Cricetulus griseus: one gene and its partners. The protein of the gene in region 3 interacts with the protein of the main gene of each other region in a pairwise test. Links are inferred from orthologs where the notes say so. Each region holds a gene or a part of one and is shown on either strand. Other genes may lie near its edges. The genes, in order: KAT8 regulatory NSL complex subunit 1, Noc4l, Krt15, Ccnb1ip1, Rad51d, Txlnb and Kiaa1217.

What was found.
Region 1: the proteins of Krt15 (region 3) and KAT8 regulatory NSL complex subunit 1 interact in binary tests that used the Homo sapiens proteins (3 or more experiments, as listed by UniProt). The two-hybrid records come from large-scale screens. The link is inferred for Cricetulus griseus from reciprocal best matches to the Homo sapiens genes KRT15 and KANSL1.
Region 2: the proteins of Krt15 (region 3) and Noc4l interact in binary tests that used the Homo sapiens proteins (3 or more experiments, as listed by UniProt). The two-hybrid records come from large-scale screens. The link is inferred for Cricetulus griseus from reciprocal best matches to the Homo sapiens genes KRT15 and NOC4L.
Region 4: the proteins of Krt15 (region 3) and Ccnb1ip1 interact in binary tests that used the Homo sapiens proteins (3 or more experiments, as listed by UniProt). The two-hybrid records come from large-scale screens. The link is inferred for Cricetulus griseus from reciprocal best matches to the Homo sapiens genes KRT15 and CCNB1IP1.
Region 5: the proteins of Krt15 (region 3) and Rad51d interact in binary tests that used the Homo sapiens proteins (3 or more experiments, as listed by UniProt). The two-hybrid records come from large-scale screens. The link is inferred for Cricetulus griseus from reciprocal best matches to the Homo sapiens genes KRT15 and RAD51D.
Region 6: the proteins of Krt15 (region 3) and Txlnb interact in binary tests that used the Homo sapiens proteins (3 or more experiments, as listed by UniProt). The two-hybrid records come from large-scale screens. The link is inferred for Cricetulus griseus from reciprocal best matches to the Homo sapiens genes KRT15 and TXLNB.
Region 7: the proteins of Krt15 (region 3) and Kiaa1217 interact in binary tests that used the Homo sapiens proteins (3 or more experiments, as listed by UniProt). The two-hybrid records come from large-scale screens. The link is inferred for Cricetulus griseus from reciprocal best matches to the Homo sapiens genes KRT15 and KIAA1217.

Annotation. Positions count from the first base shown.
Region 1 is NC_048600.1:117,493,648-117,497,584, forward strand, and holds the start of KAT8 regulatory NSL complex subunit 1, read right to left. Parts: upstream 2,801-3,937; 5' UTR 2,685-2,800; intron 1-2,684. UniProt on the Homo sapiens protein: Non-catalytic component of the NSL histone acetyltransferase complex, a multiprotein complex that mediates histone H4 acetylation at 'Lys-5'- and 'Lys-8' (H4K5ac and H4K8ac) at transcription start sites and promotes transcription initiation.
Region 2 is NC_048597.1:90,432,644-90,436,889, reverse strand, and holds the start of Noc4l (nucleolar complex protein 4 homolog), read left to right. Parts: upstream 1-1,446; 5' UTR 1,447-1,500; coding exon 1,501-1,617; intron 1,618-1,699; coding exon 1,700-1,820; intron 1,821-2,285; coding exon 2,286-2,392; intron 2,393-3,182; coding exon 3,183-3,290; intron 3,291-3,735; coding exon 3,736-3,885; intron 3,886-3,970; coding exon 3,971-4,070; intron 4,071-4,237; coding exon 4,238-4,246. Other genes in the region: ATP-dependent RNA helicase DDX51, read right to left, coding at 179-329, 844-983, 1,078-1,366.
Region 3 is NC_048600.1:112,452,179-112,456,297, reverse strand, and holds the start of Krt15 (keratin, type I cytoskeletal 15), read right to left. Parts: upstream 2,801-4,119; coding exon 2,312-2,800; intron 1,451-2,311; coding exon 1,368-1,450; intron 1,250-1,367; coding exon 1,093-1,249; intron 688-1,092; coding exon 526-687; intron 427-525; coding exon 301-426; intron 143-300; coding exon 1-142.
Region 4 is NW_023276807.1:206,448,730-206,452,883, forward strand, and holds the start of Ccnb1ip1 (E3 ubiquitin-protein ligase CCNB1IP1), read right to left. Parts: upstream 2,801-4,154; coding exon 2,504-2,800; intron 2,012-2,503; coding exon 1,678-2,011; intron 1-1,677. UniProt on the Homo sapiens protein: Ubiquitin E3 ligase that acts as a limiting factor for crossing-over during meiosis: required during zygonema to limit the colocalization of RNF212 with MutS-gamma-associated recombination sites and thereby establish early differentiation of crossover and non-crossover sites.
Region 5 is NC_048600.1:96,308,849-96,312,825, forward strand, and holds the start of Rad51d (DNA repair protein RAD51 homolog 4), read right to left. Parts: upstream 2,801-3,977; 5' UTR 2,611-2,800; coding exon 2,529-2,610; intron 2,213-2,528; coding exon 2,151-2,212; intron 1,975-2,150; coding exon 1,856-1,974; intron 1-1,855. UniProt on the Homo sapiens protein: Involved in the homologous recombination repair (HRR) pathway of double-stranded DNA breaks arising during DNA replication or induced by DNA-damaging agents. Bind to single-stranded DNA (ssDNA) and has DNA-dependent ATPase activity.
Region 6 is NC_048595.1:271,868,300-271,871,799, forward strand, and holds part of Txlnb (beta-taxilin), read right to left. Parts: intron 947-3,500; coding exon 776-946; intron 1-775. UniProt on the Homo sapiens protein: Promotes motor nerve regeneration. May be involved in intracellular vesicle traffic.
Region 7 is NC_048596.1:212,852,205-212,855,704, reverse strand, and holds the end of Kiaa1217 (sickle tail protein homolog), read left to right. Parts: coding exon 1-342; intron 343-824; coding exon 825-947; intron 948-1,637; coding exon 1,638-2,135; 3' UTR 2,136-3,281; downstream 3,282-3,500. UniProt on the Homo sapiens protein: Required for normal development of intervertebral disks.

The DNA of each region.
Region 1 (3,937 bases), about 5.0 Mb from region 3:
GATGTATACACTTTAATTAAAGTCTCATTTCTTTTTATTTAAAAATATAACTTGGTGGTGGTGTGGCAGTGCATGCTTTTAATCCTAGCACTTGGGAGGCAGAGGCAGACAGTTCTCTGTGAGTTTGAGGCCAGCCTGATCTACAGAGATCCAGGACAGTCAAGGCTACACAGAGAAACCCTGTTTCAAAAACAAAAACAAAGGGCTAGAGACATAGCTCAGTGGTTATGAGCACTGGCTACTCTTCCAGAGGACCTACCACATGGCAGTTCACACCTGTCTGTAACTCCTGTCTGTAACTCCTGTTCTAGGGGATCTGACACCTTCACACAGACATACATGCAGGCAAAACGCCAACATACATAAAATACAAGTAAAAAATTTAATTAATAAAATAAAAAAAACTCTAATTTGAAAATATAGAAAAAAACGTACTGTTTCTGCCAATTTAAACGTATTTTGAAATGTTAAGTATAAAAAATGGGAGGAAGGGGCTGGAGAGATGGCTCAGCGGTCAAAGGCACTGACTACTCTTCGAGAGGACCGGAGTTCAAATCCCAGAACCCCTATGCACTTCAACGCTGTTTGTAACTCCCAAGATCTGTCACTCCCACACAGGCATACCTGCAGGCAAAGCACCAATGCATATAAAAAGTAAATACATTAAAAAAAAAAAAAACTGATTTCTAAAAAAAAAAAAATAAAGGTAGAAAATGTGAAGAAAAAAAAAAAACTGTTTATGGCTTATGCCTGAAATCTCAGCACTTGGGAGGCAGAGTCATTAGAGTACTAGGCCAGTCTAGACCATATAGCAAGATTCTATCTCAAAACAACAAAGCTTAAACTTAGCACAGTTTTACACCGATCAAAGGATTGGTAGGAAACATAAAACTAAGGCAGCCACATAATTACATTCTCGAGTAGTTAAGAGATAATAATTCATACTTACTATAGGACACTGACTGTATTTCCGACAAGTCAAAGGACTCTGGTAATTCCCCAGGTTTACCATTAGAGGTAAAACCTTAAACACTTCACACATCTTTAAAAAGTAGGCCTCAATATATTTAATACCTTAAAACCAAGGAAGCTGAAACATGAAATCTAATATACTGGTCATAGAAGTCAGCAAGTCCTGATGGCTCAGCAGTTAAGAATACTAACTAATAGGACCCAGGGTTCAATCCCAGCACCCACATGGCAGCTTACCACTGTCTGTCAACTCCAGTTCCAGGAGTTCTGACACTGTGACACAGATATACATGCAGGCAAAAAACCAACACACATAAATAAAAATAAATGTATTTTTTTAAAAAAGGAAATGAAAACACAATTATACAAGGTCCTCCAGTTCCTAGGCAATCGATTCTTCAGACTGTTTCCCCATTCAATCCCTCCAGCTGTACCATGGGGAAAAGACTGCAAAGAATGAGTCACTTTGGACCCCTTTATATTAATATATGCACTCATCCAACAAGAGCAGCCAGAACAAAAGTGAGGATAAGATCCAGTCTACATTACCTAAAGATTTCCCAAAAGTCCAAATATTTAGGTTACACAGACTGCATTATTCTGATTTACCCACTATACTATTCTGGAATTACATGGAGCAGATCAAAACAATCTTAACTATATCATTATCTAACTCTCAAGGAAGGCGAGGCTGACAGAGGACTTCTAGCACTACTTATCAGTTCTTGGTCCTCCCTCTCACTTCCTCACTTTCAAGCCTTAAGCTCAGTCTTCTGCTTAGCCCTAACCAAGAGTTCTTCTGCCATCTCCGAACAGATCAGAAAGAACCATAAGAGACAAATGGTCACTGTCCCACATTGCCCTTGAAATGAAAGGACACAATGGCTACCTGTTGAAAAAAATTAGTGTAAGGGTTCATGAACTGGCCTAAGGAGCAGCAGATGAAGAGTTGTACACATAAACCTTAATATACTATATGAAACTTCAGAGTAAACAAATGGTTAATGACACATCTTTTGTAACACATGAATCAGCTCTGATTTGCAAAAGTGGGACACACCCAAGTTCATATGACTCTAAAGTAAGTACCTGTTTGAAAATGGACCTCAAAGTCTGAATTGCCAACCCCATAAGCCAGGTTTGGAACAGAATTTTACTAGTATGCAAGCTGTAATAATTTAAGGTTTAAAAAAAAAAAAAAAAAAATGAACTCTGGGGCTGGAGAGATGGCTCAGTGGTTAAGAGCTCTGGCTACTCTTCCAGAGGACCCAGGTTCAATTCCCAGCACCCACATGGTAGCTCACAACTGTCTGTAACTCCAGTTCCAGATACCTCCACACCAATGCACATAAAATAAAGTTAAATAAATTATTTTAAAAAATGAACTCATCATTATAATAAAAGTTAATTTGAGAACTTCATTAATATTTTAACACCAATCAAGAACAGCAATAATACAAATCCTAAGAAGCTAATAGTCCTCAGGATAAGTATCCTGTAAGGTAATTGAAGAGTTGTAAATTCAAGAACATCCTAGCATTTGGAATGTTGAGACAGGAAGTTCATGAAGTTAAAGGCATGCTTAGCAATCTAAAAAGTTCAAGGCAGCCTGGGCTACCATGAGACCCTGTCTCAAAACACAAATAGCAAACAAATATTCTTGGTTCTAAAACACTCATATGAAGTAATAAGGAAAAACCAATACATCTTACCTTAAGAGGCATCCAAATAGCATTCATAGTGTCAGGAATAGTTCAGATGAGCCTCAGAAAGAAGCAGGGAGAGACTAAGAAATCCCCTCAGTTACCACGGATAAAAGTGGCAAGATCTGAAAAGGAGGATGTTTCATTTAGATGACAATAATCTAGAATATGCAAATAGCTTATTCTATCTGGGAAGGATGCTAAGTGCCAACTGCCTTACCATCCTAGAAAGTGTGCAGGTGTGGCACACACTTTTAATCCCAGCACTCAGAGGAGGCTGAGGCAGGCTGTCATCTAGGAGTTCAACACTGGCCTGGTATACTTAGTGAGTTCAGGGTCAGGCAAGGCTACTTGTTGAGATGGTATCAAACACAAAAACAACAACAAAAGGTACAATATACAATTCTCTTTGGAAAGGGAATTTCACATGTATATTTTACATCAGAGACCATAAATTTTAAATAATCAAAAATTACTTATTAAAGATTCAGAAAACCAAAATCCAGGAGGAAAAGTTATTCTCCCATTCTCCCAGAGTATTATTTCATAAGCACTACTGAAAGTGATTTATTAACTCGTCACCGGAAAAAAAAAGTCTACAGCTACTTTTATTTAATAAATGTAAACCTCTCTGGCAACTCCAATGTCCTAACTTTTCTTAAAATTAAGTTTCAGCCGGGCGTTGGTGGTGCACGCCTTTAATCCCAGCACTGAGGAGGCAGAGGCAGGCGGATCTCTGTGAGTTCGAGACCAGCCTGGTCTACAAGAGCTACAAGTTTCAGGACAGGATCCAAAGCCACAGAGAAACCCTGTCTCAAAAAACCAAAATAAATAAATAAATAAATAAATAAATAAATAAATAAATAAAGTTTCAGAGCTGATTCTACATCATCATCATTATAATAATTGTTGCTATTCTTCACTGAAGTACTACAAGTTAAAAAAAAAAAATGGAGGGGGGGAGAAAAGATCCTTCTTTCCCAGAGATCTTTAAAAGCAGCCCAGAGGAATTAATTTTGAAGATGGTGGGTGCTAAGTGTGTAGGGACGCAAAAGGATGGACTAAATGACCCCTTCCTTGTAGGAGCCTTAAGTCCTAGGCCTGAATGAACATTCCAGCTTAACCAGTTACTGCTTCACTTAAAATGGAGGCTTGCCCGCGTAGGAACACAAAAATAACACACTCACCTCTTTAAAAAAATAATTTCTTAAATTCAGAGTCGAGGTCCCCCGTTTTAAAAATAAAATAAAGCACTGGGGTGG
Region 2 (4,246 bases), on a different chromosome or scaffold from region 3:
GACAGCACCAGGACTGGATAAAACCTAAGATAAGCACCAGGAACCTGAGCCCAAGCTCACTGATCTGGCGTGCAATAGGGGCCCCTAAACCACAGTCCTTAAACCGGAGCACTGACTGACAGCCCAGGGAAGGCTGCCTCGAGGAGTTCACCCCAATATCTGCCCCGGGCTGAAGTACCAGGAAAGTAGGACGAGATTCCATTAGCCCTCAGCTGCTTCTGCAAGTCAGGGTGAACCCCAGGGATGTCCTCGATTGGAGTAAGATCCTCGGTGACACTCTTCTTGACACAGCTTGGCTCTGCCAGCCATGTTGGCAGGAAAGGCTGGACCTGAAAGAGGAAAACCACAAGAGTTCTGCAGAGCCCTTCTTGGAGCAACACCAGTCATTAGAAATCAGGAGCTACAGAAAAGACCCTAACAACAGCTTCTGTAGAGGCACCTGGGGAGAGCAAATGCTGGAAACGGAAGGGTATGGGCGCAGGATTTAGAACATATTAGCAGAACAGGTTTCCTCAAGCCACTACTGTTTTAGGACCAGCAAGGGGATCTGACAAAGGGAGCAACACGCACATTGAACAGTCAGCCCTTCCTCAACATCCATCCTTGCAGCCTTTAGACAAGATACCCAGAACAGCAACTGCCCGCCCCTGCACCCAGAAATGTTCTCTGTGGGGGGCTGCCAGGCACACAGTGGGGCTTATCCCAGTATGTCTTACACGACTCTGGATTTCGGATACCCAAAGGAACTCCATAAGCCTCCCGCTATCCTGCAGTTAGGGTCACGCAATGGCAAAAAAAGGAAAAGAAAAAAGACAAAACAAAACCCACAAACACCATACTCACCTTCGGTGTCTTCCTCCTTGCAAAGTTCCCCAGCACCGGGCCCGGAGCCGGGGATCTCGGGGCCTCCTCTGGGGGCCTCTCACCTGAGTCCTCTGAGCCGGTGCTGAGCTCCCCGGGCGTCTCCTCGCCTCTCCCTGAGCCTGAGCGACACAGCACAGCACGGGGAACATCAAGCCCGGAACGCACCCAGGAAGCAGCCTCCACACCCGGTCCACACCTGGACGCACGGCCCACCTGCGTCCACGTTGTTGTCCGCTTTCTGCCGCTTCGCCCTAGGAGCCTCCAGGCTCTGAGCCACCGAGCCGCCAACCCCACGCCGCCTGCGGGGCCGTCGACGCCGCCTGCCCGCCGCTTCCGCGGCCGCCTCGGCAGACTCGGGCTTCGGCTCCCGCTGCTGCCGCTCACGGGCTCGGCTCTGCAGCCGCTCGAGCAGCACTCGCGCCCGGCTTCCCGCCTCGGCCTCTGTATCCCCGAGCCCGGACGCCTCGGGGCCCGGGTACCGGGCTACATGGAAGAGCGCCATGGTCGCCGCACGCTGTCGCTCCTCCTTGGCGCTCCTCGATGACGTAACCAACGTGCCCTAGCATGTGCTGGTGACGTCACGAGCGCGACTAAGCTAGGCGCAGACATCCTTTCCCGGGGGCAGCTACCGGCGGCATGGACCGTCTCCCGGCTTCGGCGGGCTCCCGCGGGGAGCTGGGCCGCCTACTGCAGGCGGTGCTAACGAGCCGTGGCCAGGCTAACGCGGTGTTTGACATCCTGGCGGTGCTTCAAGTGAGTGGCGGGGGCGGCCCTGGGGCGGCAAGTGGAAGTCACAAGCGGGCCCAGCATCACCCTGTCTGGCGTTCCTCCTCAGTCCGAGGACCCGGAGGATATCCAGGAAGGAGTACGCACATGCAGCCGACTCTTCGGTACCTTGCTGGAGCGGGAAGAGCTGTTCGTGGGCTCGCTGCCGCGCGAGGACACGGTCCTGGCAGGTGAGTGACCTGGAGGGTTGGGGTGCTCTCCGCCAGGCCGCCCCAGTGGGACGCCAGATCAACACCAGGAGGAACACCCCAAGCCAGGACCGTGTCATAGACTATGCGGTGTAGGAGGACTCATTCAACACACTCTGGCTCTGCAAGTGAGATCCGTGTACTGGCCAGAGCTACACTGAACTCGTATACTTAGCAGCTTTTTTTTTTTTTCTCCTTTCGTGTTTTAATTGTGCCACTTCCAGAGTTTGGTATTATCACTGCCCTGGTGTTTGGGATATCTAGAGGCAAAGTGAGAGGAACTGTGTTTCAGTCTCTCCCCCCACTTTGCAGAACTCAGAAATGGTCTTTTCCAAGCCCTGGAAGCATGAAGATGGGAGACACTGGGAAGGTGGGGCTGGCTTTAGGACCTTGGTCTGGCTTGGCACATGTAAACATCAGTGGGAGTTAGCTCTCCTCTGCCCTCAGGATCCCAGGAAGCCACACACAAATACAAAGTGTGGATGAGACACCGCTACCACAGCTGTTGTAACCGCCTGGAAGAGCTACTGACCCATCCCTCCTTCCAGGTCAAGGTGAGTTTTGGTGTGTGTGTGTGTGTGTGTGAGAGAGAGAGAGAGAGAGAGAGAGAGAGAGAGAGAGAGAGAGAGAGAGAGACAGGGTTTCTCTGTAGCTTTGGAGGCTGCCCTGGAACTCACTCTGTAGACTAGAGTGCATGAGTACACACTGTAGGCTGGTCTCAAACTCACAGATCCACCTGCCTCTGCCTCCCGAGTGCTGGGATTAAAGGTGTGAACCACCAACACCCGGCCTTCAAGGTGAATCTTGAAGTTGTTAGCCCAGCTTCCCCCCTTACTCTAAAATAGTTCACAAAGCAGAGGTAGGGGCTGCAGACGTGAACATCTCTGTCCTGGACTGAGAGATGCTTTTCTACCGGCATGTCTTCATCACTGCTCTTTGTCTTCCACGCAGTTGTTTCATTGTGGGGTATGTGTGATTCACCTGGTCCTCAAGGCACAGAGTCTGTCACCCAGGTTCTGGGCACCATATCTGCTTTGAGTATTGTATTTGTTATGGTGTCTCCAAAATTGTGTCACAAAAGGGCAGTTAGGTGGCCTTCCCTGCAAGCCCAGCTTGTGTGTACACCTCAGGCCAGATTCTATTGAGTTCTTTCCCAGGATAACAAGAGCATGTCACTGTCACTATCACCACAGGTGTATATATATAACATGGAGCAAGAAAAGATGGGTCTTCCTTTCTCTCCTGCTTTTTGGCTCAGACATAAGCCTGGTTGTGAGTCAAGATAAGCTTTGGGAGGCCTTCTGGAGGGTGGGGACATCATGGTCACTCTTCTCTGCTTTCCAGGAGCTGGCCCTCAAGACACTCATGAAGTTTGTGCAGCTGGAAGGAGCGAAACCCCTTGAGAAACCCCAGTGGGAAAGTCACTACCTCTTCCCTCGTACACTCTTCAGGGTGAGGCCTTGGTGGGACCTGAAGACTGTGGTGGCCATAAGCCTAAGATGGTTCTATGAGTTAGCTGCCTGAACAGCTAGATGGGAATATTATGTTCCTGTTCTGTTCTTGTTTTTGGTGTTTTGTTTTTTTGAGACAGGGTTTCTCTGTGTAGCTTTGGAGCCTGTCCTGGCACTCACTCTGGAGACCAGGCTGGCCTTGAACTCACAAAGATCCGCCTGCCTCTGCCTCCCGAGTGCTGGGATTAAAAGCGTGCGCCACCAACACCTGGCTCCTCTTCTGTCTTGACTTGGGAGCTGAGCAAGGCTTTTTGCTTGCAGGTCTCTGTGAGTTGGAGAGGAAATAGCAGACAGCCTGGTGTGGAGCTTGGTGGGATGGTGATACCCTTTTTGGTCATTCTAGGACCACTGTGTGAGAGAGTCACTCACCTTATCTCTATCCCTAGGCAGTGGTAGGAGGCCTGCTCACACCCGAGGAAGACCACAGCCTGCTTATCTCCCAGTTCTGTGAGTACTTGGAATATGATGACATCCGGTACCACACAATGCAGGTGGCCACAAGCACTGTGGCCCGAACCACCAGCCAGCAACCTGAGGTAAACAGCTGGGTTCCATCACCATTCTGTGTCCTAGTACCTCAGGGAGGCAAGTGGACAGCTGCTCAGGCTAGACTTCCTACAGGTGTCACTCACCTTCTGGAACAATGCCTTCGTGTTGCTATCTGCTGTGAACCTGCCCCTCCAGGAGTGCAACCTCACCAACTTCTATGTGAAGCATGCACGTGAGTTCTGGGCAGGTTAAGGCCAACCGGAGCGCCCCCCCCCCCCCCCCCCCCCCCCGCAAAGCACCCCTTGGAGGTCTCCTCAACACAGTCCAGATCTATCAAGCCCAGCTAGCCACTGGCTTCCCCTCTTGCAAATTGGTGACCCCTTTTTGCTGTTATTACAGAGACATCAG
Region 3 (4,119 bases):
TATATTCCTGGTTCTGAGCTTCCATCTCACAGCGGAGCTCGCTCAGCTGGCTCTCCAGGCTGCTAATAAGCCCCTGGATCTGCTGCAGCTGTGTGGCATAGCGGCACTCCACCTCTGCCAGAGAGTTCTCCAGCCCGGCTTTCTGGTGGGGTGACAGATGCATAAACCCATTGGGCTAGAAGGCAACCCACTGGAGGGAGAAGAGCAGGAAGGGTGGTAAGGACTGCCTGAGGTGACAGGAATGTGTGAGGTGAGGCTTTACTGGCCATGTGTCACCCAGTAGGGAGAGAGTGACCGTACCATGCTGAGCTGGGACTGCAGCTCGATCTCCAGCCCCTGCATGGTGCGCCTCAGGTCTGTGATCTCCGTCTTGCTGGACTGGATCATTTCTGTGTTGGAAGCTACCTCCTTGTTCAGCTCTTCCGTCTGCAAGTCACACATGAGAAACATGAGCCTCATGGGCCTCCTCAGAGGCCTCTGGAGTGGGAAGGAGGGAGAGAGCAGAGCTGGGGGTGTCAGGCCCACCTTACTGAAGAACCAGGCCTCTGCATCCCGACGGTTTTTCTCCGCAATGGCCTCATATTGTTCCCTCATCTCGGCCAGCATGCGGGTCAAGTCCACCCCAGGTGCAGCGTCCATCTCCACATTGACCTGGCCCGCCAGCTGACTGCTGAACTCTTTCATCTCCTGCAAGGGGTGGGAGTGACAACCATTTAGAGACAAGGCTATAAAGCAGACAAAGAATCGAGAGTCCTGAGGGCTAACTCTGACTGTCTCTAACTCACAATGTGACCTTAGCACATCACACCACCCTATCTCTATTCCCCATTGGAACACATGGACCCCTCAGTTCTGAGGATCTCTCTTGCTCTGGGTCCTAAGAAACAAGGACCTTGAGATAATAAGCCCATGAAGCAAACCAATTCTGCAGTTCACACATGGCTTGGCCTTGGGTCCAGATTACCAGAGATTAGTGCCCCTTCTCTTCCATGGGGCCCCCCAGGTACATTTCTTAATCCCCAAGCCCTCAGAGGACTGTGACAAAAGACTGGCTGTCCTGGGCTTCTTCCTACCACCCTGTCTTGCTGTTACCTCCTCGTGATTCTTCTTCAGGTAGGCCAGCTCCTCATTCAAGTGCTCAATCTGCATCTCCAGGTCGGTCCTGGCCAGGGTCAGCTCGTCTAGCACCCTGCGCAGCCCGTTGATGTCGGCCTCCACACTCTGGCGCAGGGCCAGCTCGTTCTCATACCTGGGGAGGGGAGAGGAGCCAAAGTCAGGAAAGGTGAGGGGCCCAGGTTCTGAGTCATAGAGGAGGAAGGCTAGGTAGAGGGGGTGAAATGGACAGGGGTGGAGAAATGGGAACACACTTGAGCCTGAAGTCATCCGCTGCCAGCCTGGCATTGTCAATCTCCAAGATGACACGCGAGTTGTCAATGGTGGCCGCCAGTATCTGCAGGAGACAGAGTTGTACCTTAGGGCTGCTGCACGACCCCCTTCGCCAACTACTGCCCAGCTTCTCTTCCTGTGTGCATCAGTTGTGCTGGCCCATGCTCCCTTCCCTGTGGCATCTTCAAGGAATGGAAAACTAACGAGGCAGTATTGCCTGGGATTGCCTGGGGGCATGGCTAGTCAAGACCGTGCTGCAATGGATACAGTTGGCTCTGTCAGGTCAGGACTCTCGGGAGACACACTATACCAGCCTACTTGGGCACAGCTCACAGTGGCTGCCTCCTGCGTGCCTTGACAGAGCCCTTCATCTCCAAAACATTGCAGTCATTGGGAACTTGGACAGCAGCTAAGGAACGTGTTTGCCACTAAGGAAAACAGATCCAGTTAGTTAAAAGGGAAAGTGAGGGGGTGGCACAGCCTCCACTGAGTTCCCTGGTCTCCTAAGATCTAGCAATGATCAACAATAAAGACATCCTTGAGGCCTGAAGTAAACAGCCCTGGCATTTAGGACTCTTGAGGTTGTGCCTGAACAGCACACGGGTCACAAAGTTAAAGCAATCAGTTGCAAAAATCCCTGAAAGTTTTTGTGAGGCAGGGAGAAGGAGCTGCTCTCTTTTGTTGCCCTCATTTGCAATCCTGTGTATCCAAATCAGATTCCCAAGACCACTCCCTCCCCTCCCCCAGCACTGCCAAGTGGAACACGTGTGTTCCCACATGTGCCTGGGAAGCAGGTGCATCCCAGCCTTGCCAGGTTACACAGCAGGGAAGGACTCTCTTAGTCAACAGCAATGTTGCTGTTGCATATGTGTACAGGGCACCTACTGCCTGTTTCCCTCTGTCTGACATATATATGAGGACTTACTTTGTCCCGGATCTCTTCCATGGTCTTAAAGTAATGGCTGTAGTCTCGCTCCGGACTGGCTGGGCTCTGCTTCTGGTACCAGTCTCGGATTTTCACCTCCAGCTCCGTGTTAGCCTGCTCCAGGGCACGTACTTTGTCCAGGTAGGAGGCCAGGCGGTCATTGAGGTTCTGCATGGTGATCTTCTCATTGCCAGAGAGGAGACCTCCATCGCCACCACCAAAGTCACCAAAGCCACCACCAAAACCCCCACCAAAGGCTCCACCAAAACCGCTACCAGCACCACCACCAAAACCACAACTCATACCGCCCCCATATCCCCCTCCTGCCCCCGAGGAGACGAACCTAGCAGAAGAAGCAGAGATGCTTCGGCTCCCACCTCCCCCGTAGAGACTCCCTCCACCAAAGCCGCCTCCACCAGCACGGAGGGAACCCCCTCGGGTAGAGCCACCTCCAAAGGTGGAAGAAGTTTGCAAGAATGTGGTGGCCATGGTCAGGCAGCCTGAGCCTTCGTGTCCTTTTCAAGCAGGAGGGACTCTAGCAGGAGCTTCTGAGCTGGGCTGAAACCAGGCTGCAGTGCTGTCGCCCCTAGCCTGGGATTCCTTATATACTGTTTCAAGGGGGTGGGGGCCTTGCCTCCTCCCCCTGAGTGGAGCCAACTCCTCTGCCTTCCAGACAAATACAGCTGCCTGCACACCTCCACAGGGCTCGCTTGTGGTGAGTTTTTCTTTTCTTTTTTTTTTTTCTTAATGCAACAAGAGAGATGATTCAGAATTAATGGGGTTTTGCTCTAGGCCATGGTTTTAACACTTGGATTACAGGTTCATTTCTCACTCCAGGAAGGAGAAGAGAGCCACAAGAGCAAACCCTCAGCATAGCACCCAAGTTCCCTCATGTCCCATCCCGTTAGAGCAGCCAGGCCAGCTCTGCCTCCCACCCCAGCCCACTGCTGGCATGTGAGCCTCACCCCAGGTAGAAAGCTTCCTGCTTTCAGTTTCTCCCACCACTGCTCTGTACTACCTACTCAAACGCCCTATACATAGCCTTCGGGACATGGAAGTCCCCGGGAATGAGAACACAGGTGACCACAGTGCAGGCTAATAGGGTCTCAAGTCAACTTCCAAACGAGTTGACCAAAAAAGCCGGTGCCTGTCCCTCTCTCCCATCCCTGATACCTGGGCATGCTCTCTCCTCTCACAGCCCTCCCACCACCCCAATTCCAGAAGTCCCTCCTACCTCTTCAGTTCCCCCCCCAGCCCAGGGTCCTGGCTAGTTCACAAAAGCCCAGAAGGCTCAGGCTGACAGGAGTCTGATTGATGGTCCTGTCACCAGCCAACTGCACATGTCACTGAACCTCTGCTTGCTCCCAAGACGCGTTGGGGCAAACCTCTGCAGATAAGACCCAGGCGAGTTCCAGAAAGTCCCCCGCCTTCTTCAGCAAGAGACATGTCGCTGCTTAGCAGGGGCCAGATTAACCCCCATTTGCCTTGTCAGCTGCTGCCAGCTGGGGAGGGGCTGAGCTAGAGGCTCTGCTCTGCGTGCCTAAGTACAGGGAGGAAGGCGGAGGCAGGAAGGGGGGCTGGCAAGCAGGTGGAACACATCAGAGCTCAGAGGCCAAGGAATCAGTCACTGCAATACTGAGGCCAAAAAGGACAGGGTCTTCTGCCACCAGCTCTAACAGCCCTATTTCTCTAAGACAATGGCACTGTGGGCAGTGCCACCCAGACTGGAGAGAATCCACAGGAGGGCTTCTAATGGAGAGCTACAATACGAGAAAGTGAATAGGGCTCCAGCGTTCCTTGGGCCTGTG
Region 4 (4,154 bases), on a different chromosome or scaffold from region 3:
GGCTGTCCTGGAACTCAGAGATCCATCTGCCCCTACCCCTGCCTCTGCCTCTGCACCTGCCCCTGCACCTGCCCCTGCCCCTGACTTTCATGGGCAGGACTAAAGGCTTGTACCACTAGACCCAGCCACATAGCATTTTGTTTGCCTGTTCTTATCACCTCATTCCCATTCTAGAACATCATTTTCTCTCACTGAACCTTTTCCCTTAGCCTATAATAAATGCCAAAATTTGAGTACCTGGAAAAGTCTATCACAAGAGACTTCAATGATTGTATGCCAATTTATACAATTATATTAATACTGAGGGAAAAACTACTGGGTTCTGTTGCACTGGTGTAATAAAGGGAAGAACTGGGAATGAGTCACCCACCTATCACAATGATCCTGAGTCAGCCTAGGACTTTGAATTACCTGTTGGACAATAATTACATCCTCACTACTTAGAACCATGCCCAAAGGCACATTAAAATATATTTGGGGGCTAGACAGATGGCTCAGAGGTTAAGAGCACTGGCTGCTCTTCCAGAGGTCCTGAGTTCAATTCCCAGCAACCACATGGTGGCTCACAACCATCTGTAATGAGATCTGGTGCCCTCTTCTGGTGTGCAGATATACATGAAAGCAGAATGTTGTATACATAATAAATAAAATCTTTAAAATATATATATGGTAATTATGTGATGATTGAATAAACAATTAAATGATCAAAGGGCAGAAACAAGAACTGTGCAATCTGGGCCAGCAAGGTGGCTCAGTGAGTAAGTGTGCTTGCTACCTACCCTGACAACCCGAGTTCAATCCCCAGGACCCACATGGTGCAAGGAGATTAACGCAAGTTGTCCTCTGACCTATCCATGTGTATTGTGGCACATATATAATGCCACACACACATACCAAGTAAATAAATATAATGAAATAAAAATACATCTTGGGGCCAGGCAGTGGTGGCACACACCTTTAATTCCAGCACTGAGGAGGCAGAGGCAGACAGATTCCCATGAGTTCGAGGCCAGCCTGGTCTACAAGAACTAGTTCCAGGACAGCCTCCAAAGCCACAGAGAAACCCTGTCTCAAAAAACCAAAAAAAGAAAATGGAAAAGAAAAAATATATCTTGGCATGGGAAAGAAACTAAAATGGCCTTGTTGGCAAATGCAGGAGAGCCTGTGCAATTCAAATCACATGAAAACATGAAACAGCAGTACTTAACACTCACTAATGAAAAAGTTATAGCTCACATTAATTAGTACCATTAAATAGCTAGCAGAGTACAACTTGAACATTTGTTTTGAAGAGATCAATTCTGCTCAAATTGAGAATAATTTAAACTAGGCATGGTGGCACACCATGGAAATCAATTCAAGAGGCAGGCATGTGAGTTTGAGGACAGTCTGGTCTACACAGTGAATTCCAGACCCTGTCTCAAAAAAAAAAAAAAGAAAAAAGAAAAAAAAAAAGAAAAAAAAAAAAAAAAAAAAGAAAAAAGAAAAAAAAAGTAAAGATAATTTAAATGTATGCAAATACAACTGAGAGCAATGGTTGTTGAGATTAAGACAAGGAATCCACAGCTTAAACATGGCCTGCCACTCTCAGTGCCTTCTGAGTGTGCAGAACTATGCAGCACAGTATGAAAAACCATAATTTAAAAACTAGGTATTGGGTAACAGATTCCTTCTTACCTAATGGAAAGCCAAAAACACCAGACTGTGCAATGGTAGCTTGTTCCAGGGAACCTTCTTGGCTAGCAATAGTGATATTTCGTAGCCTAAGGCTATCATAAAGGCCTTGGAGCTTTTGATACTGGCGATTGCGCTCCATAAGTTTTTCAGAAATATCACTAAACTTTTTCTTGTACTCTTCTAGAACTTTCTTCATAGAAGTGACCTCTCCTTTCATAGAGGTCAATTCCACATCCTTGCTCTGTATTTGCTGTGTATATATCTTTTCCATCTGTTTCAGATGGCTCTCGGCTTTGCTGAAATTATATTCTTGATAGAGACGCTCCTGGTGTACCTGTCCAAACAAATGAGAAGCAGCACAGTGTTACAGACTCATCCAAGCTTAGCTGGAAAGGATGCTTATACAGGGATGTCCTTATCATAGTATTTAAAGCCAGGTTTAAGATATAATCACGCCAGGCAGTAGTGTTACATGTCTTAAATCCCAGCACTTGGAAGGCAGGGGCAAGCAATATTTGTGAGTTCAAGGCCAGCCTGGTCTACAGAGTGAGTTCCAAGGCTGTAAGGGCTACACAGAGAAACCACTGTCTCAAAAAAAAACATAATCACAACATATAATGCAGTGATTACAGAAAATGGGATGCTCAGAGAATCACAGCGCCAGAATAAGTATGCCTTATCTGCAAGTAATATACATCCTGAAAGTTTTTAAGAAATACAACTGAAGTTGTGTGTGAAGGTTTATGCATGTAGTAGTCACAGACATAGGGAATGCTTACACAGCACTTTACCCACTGGGACATCTCCCCAGCCCCTAAGCACTAACCTGGTATGTCCAGAAGGCCAATGCCCGGGAGCTGATGTCCAATACAATCTCTGGCCGAAGCCCTGCCAGTACCATAGCTTTATATTCCTCTGATGGACTGAGCTCTGTGCGAACAATGTCTAGCTTTCCAGAAAGGGTGCTGTTGCAGGCAGGGCAGATAGCTGGTGAACGACTGAACTCACCACTGCCATGCTGATCACAGAAGATGTGAGAGCAGGCAGTAACCCAAGCATAGCCAGAGAGCTTGAGGCGGCATTTCCGATAGTTGCAAAGCAACATGTCTTCATACAAAGACATGATAATAGTTTCCAGCAGAAGAATCCTAACAAGGAATAAATGAAAAGATAAGTAAGACAAATTGTAATGAATGTGGACTTTTTTAAAAAATGTACTTTTATTTTGACAAAAAGCACATTTTTTTATTTATTAAAATTATATTGATTTCAGCCTCAATGCTGTGGTCTTTCATTATACAAATCTGTGAATTAAGTTATACATACAGATAGTCCCATCTCTTATTGATGTCAAGAATACTGTGCACAATGGCAAATGTTTAGAAACATCACAAAGAAATACAAATTAAATCTGCCCCATTTTCCAACACCAGAACACAAAGCATTCTATTAAGGCCAGGCATGATGATGGTCATGAAAGCCTAATAGAATTTCAGAGGTAGAAGTAGGCAGATCTTTTTAAGTTCAAGGTCAGCCTGATCTATACAGTGATTTCTAGGACAGTCAGGGCTAGTATATCTCATATGTGGCAAAAATGAGGCTGCACATAACTGCAGTAAAAATTATAAGTGACACTCAAGTTTTGTTTTGTTTTGTTTTTTAAGATTTATTTGTTTATTATGTATACAGTGTACTGTCTGCATGTCTGCCTGCAGGCCAGAAGAGGGCACCAGATCTCATTACAGATGGTTGTGAGCCACCATGTGGTTGCTGGGAATTAAACTCAAGACTCCTGGAAAAGCAGTCAATGCTCTTAACCTCTGAGCCATCTCTCCAGTCCCTCAAGTTTTTTTTTTTTTTAATACATCTTGAGTTCTCATATTCCTTAACCGAACTGCTTTGATTTTAAAAGACTAGCTACATGACAAAATTAGATATGAACTATTGAACTATGCTAATTCATCTATGATGAAGCCTGAAAATCTACATTAGAATGCTTGTTTAAATTTGTTTGTTTGTTTGATTTTTGAGACAGGGTTTCTCTGTAGCTTTGGAGCCTGTCCTGACACTCACTCTGTAGACCAGGCTGGCCTGACACTCACAGAGATCCACCTGCTTCTGCCTCCCGAGTGCTGGGATGTTTAAGTTTTATTATCAGTTAAATAATACATCTATCAATATGGCGATAGTTTAACACATTTACAACTGATTCTCTAGACTGTTACTTTTCAGTAGTGTCCACTATAGAAAGCAATAGCATCAACAGTCATCTATTGAATAATAGTGCTGAATCAATTAATTATACACCAAGGAAAAGGGAGCACATTCAACATACAACTTAAACACGTTCCTTAACAGTGTTATGGGCCACACCTGTAATCCCAGCACTAGGAGGCTGAGGTAGACCTTTCCTTCCTTGTTGGAGGCCAGCCTGGGCTACACAGCAAACTCCTGTCTCAAAAAACAAAACATATTCC
Region 5 (3,977 bases), about 16 Mb from region 3:
TGACCTCCAGTGCCCAATCTATCTACCATCTAACCTAGTAGCTGCAGGATCTTATGCCGGTGCCTGAACCTAAGTCCCTATTCCTTCATGTACACATACATAGATGATTTCAAGGGCAGTGAACTCACATTAGGGGTTATGAAGGACAAATGAAATGCATGCCATGAAATGCTGAGCACAGTGTCAGAGTCAAGGTGAGCACTCAGGGCCAGCTCTGCCTATGCCAAGGCTACCTGTCCCACCCTGAGCCCCCACCCCCACCCATGAATACTGCAGCTGCAATCCTGCCAGTGTACCTTCTCACTGTTCCTTCTGTGGATGCTGGTTTTATAAGTTCCCTGGGCTCCAAAGCCAATGTGCCTCCTTGCCGCACCCACAAGTCTCCCATATACACTAACCACCATACTTAAGAGTGGGAGCCTTGCCTCACTCGTACAGATAGTATCTGCATGTGTCTGGCACCCAGTAGGCACTCAGCCAATGTTTGATGGATTACAAACACAGACCCCCCAAACAGTGGAAGCAAGCACCAGACTGTGCGGACCTTGCCAAGAGTGTGTTGTGGAAACAGCAAGGGCCAGACCAATCCAAAGACCTTTGTGATAGCAGTGTTATTCATCAAACTCCGCACAAACAGGCCAGAAGAGAGGTCAGGCTTACTTGGCCAGAAAATGCCAGCTGTCTTCCAATTCTTTCCCAACCCGAACAACAGGGCACAATATAACTGCTCTTTTCAGTGAGTGTACATGTTCCTGGCTGCTGCCTCCTACGGCAAAGGCATAAGGCTCTGGGTTATATTTCCCTGGGCTCACTTCTGCCGACCCCTCCTCTTAGGCTAACCACAAAGGAGGTCAACAATCTCTAACATCGGGGCTGGAGAGATGGCTCAGAGGTTAAGAGTACCAGCTGCTCTTCCAGAGGTCCTGAGTTCAATTCCCAGCAACCACATGGTGGCTCACAACCATCCGTTATGAGATCTGGTGCCCTCTTCTGGTGTGCAGATATACATGGAAGCAGAATATTGTATACATAATAAATAAAATCTTTGGAAAAAAAATCTCTAACATCTAGAGTCTATGGTAGTGGGTCCTGACCCTCCTGGGAAATTGAACAATCCTTTCACAGGGGTCACATATCAGATATTTACATTACAATTTGTAACAATGGCAAACTTATAGTTATGAAGTAGCAACAAAAATAATTCTATGGTTGGGGGTCTCCACAACATGAGGAACTGTATTAAAGGGTCACAGCATTAGGAAGGTTGAGAACCACTGCCCTAGGGTCAGACTTTAGGTGCAGACTCCCAGGAAATCTCAATCCTGTCCTGGTCTCACTTACCTTATCCTGAAGTATCAGAGACTCTACTGAAAACTGGGATATTAGGGGGGATGAGAGGGAGAACTGAGGTTGGAATGTAAAATGAAACTTAAAAAATAAATTATAAAAAATGGGGCATTAGTGACATCATGTGTTACAGGACAATGGCTCTTCAGTGGGAAATGATGTCTCCTAGGTGATACTGAGTCATATCTGGAGACATTTTTGATTGTTACAACTCAGGGCAGAAGAAATGACCTGGTATCTGATGGGTAGAGCCCAGGGTTACTGCTAAACGTCTCTCAATGCACAGGATACCCCTACCCTAGCAAATGATTACTTGCTCCCTAAGTCTCAATAGTGCTGAGGCTAAGAACCCCTGTCTTTATACTCTAAGGGGAAAAAAAAAAATCTCAGGAGTTCAGATGCCTCTAGGTTCCCTGACATATCCAGACTGCCCTCACCGGTCCTGCCCTTTGTAGTCTCCGCATGGGAAGCTCGGCTTTCAAGTTCTTGCCCAGGTAAACATACAAACCTTCCAATGCCTGTGGACAGGATGGCAGTGGAAGTCTTCAGTTCCTCATATAGGTCTGCTCCGTTTAATGGGAAAGCCGAGAACTGCGCCAGCAATACCCTCCTCAGGGCAACCAGGGCCTGCCAAAAGTACGGACACACAGTCTCCAGAGCACCCAGACTGCCAGTGACCAGCTTGTCCCGCAGAGCAATCTAGGTCTAGTGCCCCTTAGCAACTTCCGGGAACTCTGATTCTGCAGCATGGGGACCCGCTCTAGAAGAGACATTGGGATGGAGTTTGCACATGGTAAGCTCACCTTGTAGGACAAGCCACACTTCTGGGCTACCTCCTCCAGGTTAGCAGCTGCCAGGTCCGCCACTGGAAAGAGACCAAGAGCAACCTATTAACAACAGGAATGCTTTAGTTTTGCCACGCTTGCCTTTTCCTCTGTTGGGAAATGGCGTTAAGGTCTTAGTCTACTCCCCATCTCAAGCACGCAGGCCCTGATGCAGGACCCGGAGAGGAGCCCAGCACACAGTCGAGTCCTCTGTCTCCGTCTTGACTCCTGAGAACCCCATACTGAGGTCAAATTGTGGCCTCCGGTTAGATTGAAACGCCCCGCACGTGTGCCAACACCATGGCGCCGACCCCCGCGGTCGTGCCCATGTTATGTGTCACGAGCCCAGGAGGTCACCTGTCTTGATCCTTTGGCCCTTCAGAAGCTGGACGATCTCTTCGGTGAGGCCCGGGCACAGCCCCACCCTGAGCACGCCCATGTTTCCTGCAAACCCGGGGCGCCCCGGGGGCTGTCACATGGGCGCCCGCCGAGACCCCCCACTAGGTCCCACTTCTGGAAAGAGTCTCGGCACGCCAGCGCGGGAAGGGGGCGGGAAGAGGATGCAGATCGGGGTGAGGGACACCAGCCCTTCCAAACTCCAGAGCCCTGGACCCGCCCCCTCCCGGCGGACGCTTCCGGGTTCCGCAACTGGAGCGGCTTTTGTGGCCCAGGCCTGTAGCGCCATCTGCTGACCAAGCGGGCAAACGCGGCGGCCTTCAGGCTAGGGCCAACCACCTGCCAGTCTCAGCTACTCCCTCCCTCCCTCCCCCTCTTTCTGCCTCTCTCCTCTCTTTCTCTTTCCTCTCTTCTCTCTCCCTCTCTCTTCTCTGTCCTCTCTCTCCCTCTCCTCCCTCTCTCTATCTCCTCTCTCCTCCTCTCTCCCTCTCCTCTCCCCCTGCCCCCCCCCCCCGAGTCCCTTGTGTACTAGCCTCCATTCCCAACGCTAGGGACATTCACACCCTACTTACTGAGTGAAGCATACCCGCCTTCTAGTAGCATTCACGTTAGGGAAACAGACAATAAGGAGCAATCAGTTCACACCATTACAGATTGTATGATCCAGTGAAGTTCACACCTGCACCCCTGTATTTTCCAAAAAAAAAAAAAGTGTTTTAAGTTTTATCTTATGCATATAAATGTTTTGCCTGCATGGATGTCTGTGCACCCCTTACGTGACTGGTGCCTGAGGAGGCCAAAGAGGGGGGTCAGATTCCCTTGGACTTGTTACAGATGGGGGCTAGAGAAGTGGCTTAGCAGTTAGGAGCACTGGTTGTTCTAGAGGACCAGCGTTCATAACTCAGCATCTACTTCTCTAGCCCCATATTTTCTGAAGGTTTTTCTTTTCTGAGACATGATTTCTCTGTGCGTCTCTAGCTGTCTTGCTACTTACTGTATAGACCAGGCTGGCCACCTCCTGAGTGTTTTGAATGAGGATGTACACCATCACCACCAGGCATTTTCCAAAGATTTTAGTGGGAGTCAATGCTTGAGTATTTAGAACATGTGAAACACAGTTTACTATTTTGAAATGTTCTTTACCACATCCAGTGGGAGAAATAAAGCAGTGTCACAAACCTTTGAGTGAGGTTCTGTTTCTCTCTGTATTTTGTAGTTGAGTTGTGACTCAGGAAGACATTTATTCTCCGAGTTACGCAGCTAGCAAGCACAGAATTGAATCTCAAGCCCACATCCAACTGCAAAGCCAGTGTTTCTGAACTTGTTTTCTCCCCTCCCCGGAAGATGTGGGTTCGCTTTCTACCTTGTGCTCTCTCCATAGCAGAGAAGTCTGGCCCATTTTTAGAAATA
Region 6 (3,500 bases), on a different chromosome or scaffold from region 3:
AAGTGATCAGTCTATTATTTTTAAATTGAGTAATTAAGACTGAAAGAGCTCTCCGGTGTTTTTCTAAGTAGCTTCTTTTCTCAGACAATTATTGATATTTTTGGCTCTCTGTCTCACTTTTGCATGTCAATTAGCTTTGTGTCTATGCCTTGTCATGCAGAATTCATTAAATTAAAATAAATGCTGAATTTTTACAAATTTTTAAAGTGCAATCTAAGGGATGGAGAGATGGTTTAGAGGTTGAGTGTTGGCTACTTTCTCAGAGGACCTGGGTTTAGTTCCAGCACCCACACAGCAGAGCTCAACTGTCTATAACAATAGTTCCTATGCCTTCTTCTGGCTTCCTTGGCCACTAGGGACACATGTGATGCACAGACATACATGCTGGAAAAACACCCAATCGTATAAAGTAAAAATAAAAACAATTAGATAGTAAATGAAGGACCATCTAAACAACCAATCAAAATAAACAAACAAAAAACTCCACCTAGCAAGCAAGAAAGAGGCATGGCATTTATTTCACTCTGGGCCTGCAGCTGTTGTTATATGTAAGCACCTTGCAAATGGAATATCATTTAGCTTTCCCCTTCTGACCACACAATCAGATGATGGAGGAACCATTCACAAAGGTAAAAACTTGAAGATCACAAATGAGCAAGTAGCAGAGCCAGTATTTGACTGTAAGTCCTCTGGTTGTAACTCATGCTTTTCCAGGTAACAGAGGCCTGTGTCTATGCAACAGCTAAGAAATGTGTCATTCCAACGTGCCACATACCTTCAGTGTCTTGTTGTGCCTCTGCAGCTCCCGACACAGACTCTCAAGTTTGCTTCGAGCGAGGATGGCTCGGTTGTGTTCACTCTGAAGCTGGTCCTTCTCTCTCTGGATCTGTGCCTGCTGCTTCCGTAGGAGTTTTAGTTTCTTTTGCTCAGCTCGATGCTCATCCAGCTAGACATGGGGATTCAAGCAGCAAAGAAATCGGCAGGGGTGTCTTTGCAGCTCACAGAGAAGAAGCAAAGCCTAAGGACATTCTGTGTGGTTGTTTAAAACTATTTTTCATCATTATCTGCTTCTCTGACAGCTCATAAGTTTCACAAGTCCCACTCCTGTATAATGTGTAGGTATAATTTGTAGAACATAATATGTATATGCTCCATAAATATGTATATATAATGTGTATGTACATAATATGTATATATGATTTTCACATAACTATTACTTCTATTAGCCTCTTCTCTGATTTTTTTTTGGATATCTAGAAATATTTTTCTTGTTTCTGTCTCATGATGTCATCTGGTGCTACCCTAAAAAGAAAGACACACTTGTAACTGTGTGTCTGTTCATGGCAGTATCTTGTATTCAGACCATGGCTAGCAATTTTGTTTGCTTGGCTCACATTTCACTCTCATAACTCCATCTGAAAATAAACCAGTGGTGACAGTTTTAAAAATAGGAAAGAGAAAAAACAGCCTCCTGGTAACATAAAGTGCAGTTATCCTCTTTATAATTTGGGGTTTTAGATGTGGACTCTTTGGGTATGGGAAAGCAAGCGAAATCATAACACCCAAACACACACAACACAGTGGGCAAAAGGCAGATATTGATAACATTCCCTGCTGCCCAACTTTGTCCTCAGCCTCTCTATGACTACAGTAAAGACATCATGACCCTTGTTTCTGGTGATCCAGGTGAAGTTTATTCCCATACTGTCCATGTTCAGATACTAAAATATGAGTGTAGGCTTGCCAGATATGATACAAGATACCTAAGGAAATAGAACATCCATGTGGCCACATGCAAGCAGCAGACTTTGGTCTAGAATTGTTCACTCTACTGGACTTGGTTTCTTTAGGGCCTGGGTGTTGCCTAAGCCAGGAAGGGACTGGTTCTATCAGTAACCATATTGGCTAGGAGCAAGGAAAATTCCTGGGAAGCCATTGGGTACTTCTAGATGCCAGGTATTCCTGGAGCCTCATAGACCCTAATGGAAATGGATGTACATCCCTTGTGGATCTTGACCACATTTTAGTTTCCCTGTTTTAAAATTTTTTTCTTCCCCCTGAACTATTTGAAGATTGTCACACTTCCTTCAATTCTTACTTTATTTTTAGTTCTACCATGTTGAATAACTATTAAAAATCCTACTCAGATTAAACCAAGAATATGCACATTTGATATTCTAAGTTATACCCATATGCAATTTCTACTTTTTAAAAATTAACATTGGAAAAAGAGAACCATGCTACTAGGAATAATGATTGGCCTTGATTCCCTTCTTGAAAAGCCAGTGATCCTACATGCCAAACTTATGTTTATAAGATAAATGTGGTCCTTTTGTTTTGTACCATAGTGATATTTAATCTTTGGCTGTGTTATAAAATCATGCACATTAATTTCCTATGATTAGAGCAAGATTTTTCTTCCTTGAAATTGATGTATTGTGTCATTATAGATTAGACTTCAGTTTTGAGGGTTAAGCTATATGTCAAAACTTTGCAAGTTCATCACTGTTGACAGAATAGACAAAAGTTTGTATTGTGCAGAATCCTCTGTATTATGGGCTGTTATGTGCCCATCAACCTGGGCCCCTCTATCTACTGTGTGACAGTAACATATCTAATTGTGACATGCAGAAATATCTCCAATAAGAGACATTTATAGCTCCTTGGTAGACAAGACCAAAGCTTTCTTTGTGTTCCCTGAAACAAATATATACTTTATGTGCTTTAGAAGGTGGAAGACAGATGATTCCTGCTTTGCCATATTTAATCTTTGGCTGTGTTATAAGATCATGCACATTAAAAATTTAGCCAGATCTATTTTCCTTAGGTTTAAAATGAACTACTCTGGACTTCCTACATTTTTTAATGTTTGGATGATTTTTTTCTTTTCAAATAGTTCAGACTTTGGTGTTTGTGTCTGAATGGGGGGGTTTAATGAATTAATGTGAACATATTACAACCAAGTCACCCTCAGCCCAGATCTGGCTGTGAGGTTAAATGATTCATGTAGGCACGGTTCTGGAAATTTGTAACAGGTATTTATCTGAAATTTCTGTTCTTTCTTCTTCATTAAGTTAAAAAAAAATAAAAGCAAATCAGTGCCAATGACTAAATTAGAATTGTATTAATGATTCTTTTTAAGTATATAGAAGTTGAAGAAATTTCCAGAAAATGTTTTTCTAAGGCCATTTCTGAATGTAGTCATGAAGCTTCCTTACTTATTAATGAACAAGTCCTTATTTATTGATGAACACAATGGCAGATAATATTACAGGCTTCAGGCTCTGTAAGCATGAGTGAGCTATAGTGACAGTTTGATTTAAAGAATTAGAGTTGACAGTTTACTCCATATTAACCATTATATTTCAGACATTTTCTATATTAATATCCTAATTAATGAGCAAGGAAATAATTACTTACATGGAGATAAAAGAACTTTTATCTCCATTCAGATCATTAAAATTTTTCATGATTTTTTTCCCTGAAAAGGAAATGTAATT
Region 7 (3,500 bases), on a different chromosome or scaffold from region 3:
GAAATCACCAGGTCACAGCCTGAAGATGCCCTGAAAACCATGGCTAGGAGGCAAGAGCAGCGCAGTCTTGAAGTCACAGCTCCAGCTTCAAGGACCGATGAAATTAGGAAAAATACTTACAGAACGCTGGACAGCCTGGAGCAGACCATAAAGCAACTTGAAAATACAATCAGTGAAATGAGCCCCAGAGCCCTAGTTGATACCCCGTGTTCTTCCAACAGAGATTGTGGTGCAAGCTCGCCCCACATAGCCCAAGAGGTCTCTCCCCGGTCCTTGATAGTTCTGGATGAAGTGTCCCCTGCCCCAGAGCCCCCCACGTCCATATCTTCAGCTTCACGTAAGGTATCTTGGTCTGTGGAAAATGAAAAAACCCAGCTGCTTCTTAAGCCTGTCATAATCACAGTAGCAAAAGGTGTCTTGTGGTTTAATCGCTTCCTTTCAGGTGGCTCGCGTTATTTTTGTCTATTCGTCATGTACCCGTCTCTCCTCCCTTCTCCGTCGCCTTCCAAAAACAACTGGCAACTAGGTGTCTAACAGCTAATCAATTCTGTTTGTGCCTCTGTTGCTGATTGGTGTTGGGTCCATATCAGGAAGCTGGGTCAGCCGTGTGCTGTTGGTACTCACATTAAAATCCAATCGATCGGTAGTGAGCTATTGATTCTGTTTGATTCTTCTGATTAACCCAGTCGGTGTCTCCTGGGTCTGTCCTGCATGTAGGGCGCTAGCTTCTCATTTGGCTTTCTCTGCACACAGTGGGGCAGTGTCAGTAACTATCCACTCACCTTCTTCTCTTGGTCTCTCCTCTCTCGCTGGTCCTTCCACAGGGTTCCAGTACCACACCACAGACAAGCCGGATGCCAGTCCCCATGAGTTCTAAGAACAGACCCGGAAGCCTGGATAAGCCAAGCAAACAATCCAAACTGCAGGATCCCCGCCAATACCGTCAGGTAGTTTTACCTTAAACCAAATTTTGGATGGACACATTGCAATTAAGAAGCCAGTTGCTGACTTAGTTTATACCAAATACTGTGTTTTCTTTGTGCGATATCATTTACGTAGACATCCTGGATCTGGGGGCATGAAGAAAGTCTAAAAAGAACCTGTGTTAAACTTTTCACCACTCTCTTGCATGCTTACAATAAAACATCTTTTCCTTTGTGACTTCAGACCTTAACTGTTAACACATGGTGCCAGGCCAGTGGCGGTTTCTTTGCTGAATGTAGTTCTTCATCAAAACCTCTTGGGAAACAGAGACAAACCAACCTGTCGTTGAACTGCTCTTAAGTCACCACTACTAACATCTGTGTTGACTGCATTGCTTTAAAGTCACACTAACTGTCCCACATTCACACTCCCCCACCCCAGCAACAATCCCCATGCATGGCTGACTGGCACCGTGGATGCCTGTGGAATGTGTGATGTGTGGTCGTCCTCTCTGTCACCTCCGTACCTCCTTTGCTATGTGCATGGGTGGTTTGAGCCGGGTCCAGATAAGCACAAAACTTAGCTCAGGCCGCGGACTGTATGTTGTTTTTCTTTTTCTGAATGATTCTCAAAAGGGCTGTGTTGCCAGGCCCTGTGTGTTGATCGTGTTACCAGCTTTCTGACAGAGTGTCTCCCGCCATCTTTGTTTGCAGGCTAATGGAAGTGCTAAGAAAGCTGGTGGGGATTGTAAGCCTACTTCCCCCTCCTTACCTGCTTCTAAGATTCCAGCCCTTTCTCCCAGCTCTGGCAAAAGCAGTTCTCTACCCTCTGCTAGTGGTGACAGCTCTAACCTCCCCAATGCATCTGCTACTAAACCACCGATTGCTTCTACCCCTCTCAGCCCCCAAGCAGGACGGTCCACTCACTCCACTTCCCTCATCCCCTCTGTCTCTAATGGCTCCTTAAAGTTTCAGAGCCCGCCTCATGCAGGTAAAGGCCATCACCTTTCGTTTGCACTGCAGACTCAAAATGGCCGAGCTGCCCCTACTTCCTCCTCCTCCTCATCCCCTCCCTCTCCTGCCTCCCCCACCTCCCTGAATCAAGGTGCCAGGGGCGTCAGGACCATCCACACTCCTAGCCTCGCCAGCTACAAAGCACAGAATGGAAGTTCAAGCAAAGTCACCCCATCCACAGCAAAGGAAACTTCTTAAAGGCCAGATCCTATTAGGCACAAGGTGGAATCACATTCTTGTTTTTAATTTTCAGCATCTGGAACAACTGTTTTCACAAGAGAATGTACCATAGTGCTGTACTGTTCAAGGCTTCATGCAAAGTATGTGCTAAATACCGAGTTGATAGATTGCAGTCAAGCTTGTTTTTTTCTGCTCTGTTGCTGTTGTAATTACATAGTGTTTACTGTCTAGATTCAATACCTATTAAATGAAGAAAGCATGTGTTATAAAAAAGAGAGAGAGTATGGTGAGAGTGGGGAGACGTGTGAGATGAGCTGTACTACGCATGTAAAACATGTATGATTCCAGAATTTTAGTATGTTTTGTATAAAAATATTTTTCATTACGGAGACTAGAGGTGAACAGAGAGATACACGAGTGTGACTATATAAATTGTAAAGCATATATTATGATATTTTCTTTTATTTTAGTGTTATTTAGCTTTATTACAGATTTCTATTTTTGTCAAAAACGTCATGGTTCCTTTCCAGATCTTTTTTGCCAAAACATTTTGATACTACAGCATTGTACATTTGAAAGTAGCATGCTAGACTCTAAGCCAATGAGCTTCTACACAGCCCGTAGGAAGAAATTCAGCAAAACTCTTGCTCTGCCACCAAAAGTATGGATGATAATTTGCTAGCCCAAGCAGGTTTGTTTTCTTTTTCTTAGCTTTCATTTTGTTTTCTTCTTCCTTTTTTTTTCTTAAAAGAAAAACCATATTAGTATTCTATAGCAGTTTTCTTTGAAGAATGTAAACCCCTTTTTATGTTTTCTTAGACCTGGTAACCCACACGATTACATTGTGGATTTTAAAATGTACACTTCTGTACGGTTCTGTACACTGAGGAACTTTTGTAAATATATAAATATAAATAGACATCAAAATACTGTATGTGACCGCACACAGAGTAGTTTTCCCACACCAAAGTTACTTTTTATGCATGCTCTAAGCGTCTATTGGGATGGGCACAAATGGGATTATCCATACATTTTTAAGAAGCTACAAGTTTGCACAGCTAGAGTGGTTTTGTAAATAACTGTATTTGTATAACACAGCCATGTAACATACAGGACTGTAAGCGGAGACTTGGCAAAACTAAATAAAGGGCTGCATGCTTATTATTTTTTGTACCTTGTCATTGTAACTAACTACTTCCTAGTCAGAGAGCATGTAAGTATTGCCCAGGGTCTCAGCTCTGAGGGCATTCTGAGTAACATGTAGCCATGTCCACTTATACGGCGGTGCGTCTCCGAAAGCTTGAAGTAGCAAAGGATGAGTTCCTAATAAACTAATTGACAGTGTGGTTGTCTGAACTTAATTTCCCGCCTGACTCCTCACTA